Linked DNA regions of Macaca mulatta. The protein of the gene in region 1 interacts with the protein of each later gene in a pairwise test. Links are inferred from orthologs where the notes say so. Each region holds a gene or a part of one and is shown in the gene's direction. Other genes may lie near its edges.

Region 1 (2,643 bases):
ATATCCATGTGTTTTGCTTCAGAAATATCAATGTGTTTGGTTATGGGATGTTCCCTCAGACTCCACTGGGGTAATACAGTTGATCCTCATTATTCACAGATTCTGTATCTGTGAATTTGTCTACTCCCTCAGCTTTATAACTCCCAAATCAGTATGCGCAGAGCACTTCCACAGTCATTCGTGGACATATACAGAGTGGCCAAAAATTTGAGTGCCGACTTGCACAATCTAAGCCAAGGTTGAAGTAGGCATCTCCACCAGAGGGTGGAGATGGATGGGACAGCGCAGTGTAGGGAAGAAGCTCAGCTCCATGCCAGACAGAGGAATGAGTAGAGTCTGAATTCCAGCCTCGGCACCAGTTAGTGGGGCGGCCTCAGGAGAGTTACCACTTCTGATCCTCATGTCTCTCATGTGAAATAAAAAATACAGAATCCACCAGAATGAGTTGTTCTAGGATTTAGGATTGTACTCTCTGTGTGGGGTGTGTGTATGTGTGTGTGTGTATTTGTTGTATGTGTATATTTCCCTGGGCCAAAAATTCTGTGTTTGCTAATTCAGTGTTCTGGGTGACTTTATAGAATACGACTGCTGTTGTGAATGAGTATTGACTGCATATGGCATATGTTCTGTACTACCTTTCTAAAAATCAGAATTCTGAAACATCGCTAGCCTCAAGGGTTTCAGATAAGGGACTGTGGACTGAAAATTTGGAGGAGAAAAAATATTGATTTTAGCTGGCATCTAATTTATTTTTGTTAAATTGTCTGTGCTTTAAAATGAAAGTGACATACTCAGGTTTTTAAAGTGAGTTTGAAATAATAGGCATTAACTATGGAAGGATATATAAGTCTAAACTGAAACGTTCTTCAGACCAATAACTAATATATGATACTTTACATGATTACAACTTGGGTCAGAAAGGGACAGATCTGTGTTAATTTTTACAGAATTTACTGAGTTTTGTTCTTTTATTGCTCTTATTAGGATGAAAACCAAAAAAGTCTCTTCAAAGGAAAACAATCAGCTTTTAATATTGCTAGTTAGAAAATGTCATGAACAGTGTGTCTTAGAAATATAATATTCTACTTATTTACACATGTCAAAATTTGTCTCTCTTCCAGTGTTCCTTGCCTGTTTCTCCCCTTGGTTCAATAGCTACTAGATTTTTGGAAGAGGAGGAACTGAGGTCTCATCACATTCTAGAGCGCTTGGATGCCCATATTGAAGAACTAAAAAGAGAGAGTGAAAAGACAGTGAGACAATTCACAGCCTTAAAGTAGCCTCTTAAAAAATCACAATCTTGGAAATAAAAATAAACACCAAAGAGTTACTGTCATCTGAAGTAGCAGCTCTTTAAAAACATGAAGAGATAAAATTATAAAAATGATACATCTAAAGCAGTGGTGAAGAAAGCTGAAAAACCAATACTTTTGATAGGCATTTTCTCTGCACTAGTTTGTTTGAAGGACTTCCTCCAGTGATAAGTTGTGAGAATAAACCACTTTGCTAGACTTTTTTCTCATATGAATATGTATTATCATAAAGTGATACTTATCTTGCTGACTTAAATGTGAATAGCTGTGTACTAATTGAAAGAAGGATTTTATGATACATGTTGAAAATAAAGTAACTGCAGGAACTTTCTTTAAGGGAAATGTGTAGAAGCATGGATTTAGGGGTCAAACTTACCTGGATTGATAGACTGGTTTTGCCATCCAACTGGGCTGGTTATTTACTAGGCTGGTAGCCCCTCTTAGCCAAGGGGCTGGTGGTGTGTAAAGTCAGGCTGGCAGTGAATAAGCGGGGTAGGCTAAAGAACCTTAGCAAGCAGTCCTCTCTTGCTCAGCACTTATGCAGAGGAGAGAGGCAGGGAGGGCAAGGGACTGGCTTTCGTGCGTGGTGCCCATGGAATATCCATTGGAAATAAATGTTCAGCGTCTGCACTGCTGAGGACAAGTTTAGATGGGAGATAAAGATCTGGATGTTGATATGCCAGAAGCATTTGAAATCATGGGAGTTGATAAGATCCACCAGGGAGGCTGTGGAGAGAGAGGGGAGCAGGAGGCTGGGTTTGGGGCCCTGAAAGATGCCAGCATCTGAGAATCACAGGAAATAGATCTAGCAAAGGAACTAGATTGTGCAGTTACAGATGAGACAGGTCAGTGTAGTGTACTTGCCACCTTAAGGGTATGGCCCCTGTGAATCCTCTTTCTCTAGTGGATCTTTCCCATTAGCATAAAACATCCTGTTATTTCCCCTTTTTAAAAAAAAACTCATTTTTTTATACCTCTCTATGTACTGCTCTGTATGTTTATTTGCTTCCCTTCACCCAAACACTTCTGAAAAGAGGTGTCTGCAGTGACTCTTTCCAGTTTCTCACCTCGCCCCACCGTAGTTCTCTTCCTAACCCTCTCCACCACCATTTCCATCCCCAGACTGCTTTCTTGCTCTTGAGTTCACCAGTGACCTAATCACCGTCTGAGCATCATTCAGCACAGCTGGACTCTCTCTTGGCTTCTAAGACCTGGAACTTCTGGTTTCATCTCTACCTCATCCTCCACTCCATCTCATGGCTTTTCCTCTTCTAACCTGTAAGTCAGAGGGCCCCCTGGAGCTCTGTCATGGGTTTTCTCCCTCAGCATT
Region 2 (4,010 bases), on another chromosome or scaffold:
CTTTAACCAGATGCCTGCAAATACTCAGGTTTTCCTTCTACATATAGAAGACAACTTATCAGCTGCCAGGGCTGAAGCCAGCAGATATGGCTAAATGACAGAACAAAGGATTATGCCAATAAAGTATGCAAAGCTTCCTTGCCCAGAATATAAATCAAACAGAGTAAAAAGCGAGTATATTGGCTCCAGGAAAAGGAGCAAGGACAGCCAGTTTTCAGGCGACCTCGAATTCTCTCCGTTTAGGATTCACCAACCCTAAGGTCCACTGGGTCCTTCAATCTGAGGGTCCATCCAGGGCCTTCCCTCCTGGGGTTGGAGATGGCTAGCTGCCTGATGGAGAGACCCCAGGCTGCTCAGCAGCAACGCCTGGCACAGCCGAGACAGCCTCGTAGTCTGCGATGCGGCGCTGTACCAGGGCAGGCATGAGCTGCACGTAAGCGGCCATGAGGCGGTGGTTGGAATGGATCAGCTTCCCAGCACAGCTGTGCAGACAGGCCTCCTAGAAGGAAGATAGGGTTTAAGCGGAGGACAAAGGTGTCCTGTCGGGCCCGCCTCCTTCCTTCCCCATGCACAGCCTAGGGGTGAGGGTCTGGGAAGGCCAGGACCAGAGGTAGGGGAAGTGGGGTGAGGAGGGAAGCAGTCTACCGCTAAACTCTGTTTGCAGCGTAACCTCCTTACACAGTTCCCCACCTCCTCAGCGTCCAGAGCTCGGTGGTGCAAGCTGGGCACACAACGCTGGAAGCAGAGTTCTGTCATCCGATTGTAGACCAACAGGAAGTCACGCAGCTGGGAGAAAACCGGGACCACGAACTCAGCGATATGTGCCCCACACTTCTACTCAAGGTCGCGCAGCCCAAAGTTTCCCAGGCCCGCGCACCATAACCCGAAGTTTCCAGCCCTCAGATCCCTGGCTCTATGGGGTTTCCGCGATGTGTGCAGGAATGCGAGCTGAACGTCTGGCCCCGAAACGACTTAGTTCTCACTCACGTTTCTCAGTTGCTGTTGCTGCTGCTGCTGCTCCATCACGCCACCGGCGCATGCTCTACGCCACTTCCTTTTCAGCTTCTCGGTGCCGCCCCGGAAGTAACCTCTCGCTGCTCTCGAGAACCAAGCTAGAGTATCGCCCTGCCCCGGCTTCGACGTCACTTCCGCCCTTATAATCTGCGACGTGGCCGGCTTCTTCTGCCCGGAGAGGACGTCACTTCCGCCGAGTCCCTGACCTGCTGCTAGGATCGCGACGGGAACTGGAGCCCGAGGTCCCCGCGCGGCCCGGGCCTGGCGCCCTGAGGGGAAGAGCGGCCCGGCCCGAGGTGAGAGGGACATGCTTGGGCGACGGGAAGTTGAACGCACAAACCTGTCCAGAGGGCAAGATGCCCCGAGCCCTGGGGAAGAATGAGGACACACCTGATGTCCAGGTGTATGGGGGTGGGGGCGGGGACTCACATACCTGGGAGACTGACTGTGGAAGGGATCACCGATATCCTGGTAAAGACAGGCTTTTGCCAGAGACTGGGAACATACACCAACTGATCTAACTAAGGCCTGGTGGGGAGGGCCCAAGGAAGAGGAGTTGTATGAGACGTAGGAGGGGAGACCCCCTGAAGGAAGGGGGAAGAAACACTAAAGGAGTGAGAAAGGCCAAGCAATGGAGAACAAACCTGAATGGGGGGTGAAGACCTGAGCCCTGGAAAGGGTCCATCTCCTGCTCAGCATAAACACGCCTGCATGGAGATAAGTTCTAAGAGAGCTACTTTCCCTCTTCACTGTTGTATTTTCATTGTCACAAATAGTACCTGACACAGAGTAGGCACTCACTAAATGTCTGCTGAATGACTGAATGAGTGTAGAATAATCACCAGAGGCCTGGTGAGGTTGGGGGCTTGTGAGAAGACACCGTGCTTTGGTGTGCCTGTGTACAAATGTGCATTTTGGAGGGGAGAAATACATATACCTGAAGAAAGGAATGATGACCAAACGCTGGGACACTCAAACCCTGGGACAGCCTTTAAAGAAATGACAGAGGAGGCTTCCTTCTTCTAGAGTGCTGGCCAGTGCCCAGAACTTCTGTGTTGGGCTTTGCAGGGTGCTGGGGTGGAGAGTTTTACTCCAATACCTTTCCTAGCCATGACGGACGGGATCCTAGGGAAGGCAGCCACAATGGAGATCCCTATCCACGGGAACGGTGAAGCCAGGCAGCTTCCTGAAGATGATGGGCTGGAGCAGGTGCTTCTGTTTGATTCTTCTAATTGTTTCAATTTAGGAATCCAATTTATAAATCCTGGGTTCTCACCCTCCATTCCAGTAGCCTTCCCCTGAACTTATCTGACTCCCTTAATTTTACATATCATTTTGATTCTGTGCAGACTTCCCTTGTGTAGTGTCTTTATGATGCTTGAATCCAAACTTGTTCCCACCTCCAAAATGCTTCTGCAGTCCCTATGTTCCTGAAGCAACCCCTCTTCTCTGGCCTATAGGACCTCCAGCAAGTGATGGTGTCAGGACCCAACCTCAATGAAACCAGCATTGTGTCTGGTGGCTATGGGGGCTCTGGTGATGGACTCATCCCCACAGGTATGAACAGAAACAGGAAGCTTGGGTGGAGGAGGGGACAGGAATGGTTTGGGGAAGCATAGGATATGTCTAGGAAAGCTTGAATAATGTCTGGAGATCTTAGGAACTTCTGCTTGTAGGAATCCCATGGACTCTCCTCAGCCCAAAAGCAACTCCCAGCATTGTCCATCCATTTCCCTTTTGCCACTTGGCCCCTGAAATGGCTCATTCGTCCTTTCCCTGCCACCACCTGAGTCAAGTTAAGACCTACTTCACAGGAATGCCCCCGCTCTACAGCTTGAGGCTGAGTTGGAACTTTGTGAGGCTTTTCAGAATTTTTAGATTCTAAAGTTTAGAGGAACAAACAGCCCTGAATCTCACACTAAGATTCCACATGGGAATGCAACCAGGTTTCTTGTTATCATGACCCACCATCCTTGACTCCTGCTGCCCCCAAACTCAGTGTATTTTCTTCTGTTTCCTCTGCCCCTATACACCAACAACTCCCTGCAAACCCCTCCTCTGGCCTCCAAGGAGGCCATATGTATATCAGGATTTGGTTATCACTGTGCAAGGTCCGAGTTCCTCCTAGTAAACAGGAGAATCCAGTTGTCTCTAGCATCTCCTTCAGGGAAGTCAATTTCATGTGCTGGGAGAGAAGCATGGGTGGGGCCACAGAGGTGTCTGGTGTATCTGAGAGAGGCTGGTGTCAGAGAACTTGATCCTTTAGGGTCTGGCCGCCATCCATCTCACAGCACCACTCCTGCTGGCCCTGGAGATGAGGTGGCTCGGGGCATTGCTGGAGAAAAGTTTGACATCGTCAAGAAATGGGGCATCAACACCTATAAGGTAGGATTTGAGCACCTCTCACTTCCCCAAAACTCGTTATGGGTACCTTTTTCCCCTTTCCTCATGATCGTAATATCCCATCTGTGGCTGAGAGTAGGAGCCTGGGTGGCGTTGGGGTAGATACCTGTTGTGTCGGGAGGCTATTAGGGTCTCTGATCTATTGCCCCGTTTCCCAATCAGTGCACAAAGCAACTGTTATCAGAACGATTTGGTCGAGGCTCACGGACTGTGGACCTGGAGCTAGAGCTGCAGATTGAGTTGCTGCGTGAGACGAAGCGCAAGTATGAGAGTGTCCTGCAGCTGGGCCGGGCACTGACAGCCCACCTCTACAGCCTGCTGCAGACCCAGCATGCACTAGGTGATGCCTTTGCTGACCTCAGCCAGAAGTCCCCAGAGCTTCAGGTGCCTCACCCAGACCAAAGAGGGTGGGGGAACTGGGCATGGGCCCTCCCAGGCAGTCATTCGTCATCCTCCCTCCCTCCTGCAGCCCACAGGGAGAACCCCTTCAGGGTGGGCCCAGCCCTACCCCCAGCAGCACTCACCTGTGGAGGCAGCCTAAGGGTTTGTACAGAGGTCCAGAAGTTGGAGGGGGTGGGGGAGGGGGCACACTA

Evidence for each region.
Region 2: the proteins of CEP63 (region 1) and ARFIP2 interact in binary tests that used the Homo sapiens proteins (3 or more experiments, as listed by UniProt). The link is inferred for Macaca mulatta from reciprocal best matches to the Homo sapiens genes CEP63 and ARFIP2.

What each region holds. Positions count from the first base shown.
Region 1 is NC_133407.1:37,602,708-37,605,350, forward strand, and holds part of CEP63 (centrosomal protein of 63 kDa), read left to right. Parts: intron 1-1,121; coding exon 1,122-1,280; 3' UTR 1,281-2,643. UniProt on the Homo sapiens protein: Required for normal spindle assembly.
Region 2 is NC_133419.1:59,303,584-59,307,593, forward strand, and holds the start of ARFIP2 (arfaptin-2), read left to right. Parts: upstream 1-1,200; 5' UTR 1,201-1,310; intron 1,311-2,082; exon of another isoform or gene 2,083-2,122; 5' UTR 2,123-2,124; coding exon 2,125-2,223; intron 2,224-2,474; coding exon 2,475-2,571; intron 2,572-3,280; coding exon 3,281-3,399; intron 3,400-3,579; coding exon 3,580-3,801; intron 3,802-4,010. Other genes in the region: TIMM10B (mitochondrial import inner membrane translocase subunit Tim10 B), read right to left, coding at 323-499, 691-786, 988-1,023. UniProt on the Homo sapiens protein: Plays a role in constitutive metalloproteinase (MMP) secretion from the trans Golgi network. May have important functions during vesicle biogenesis at certain cargo subdomains, which could be predominantly utilized by secreted MMPs, such as MMP7 and MMP2.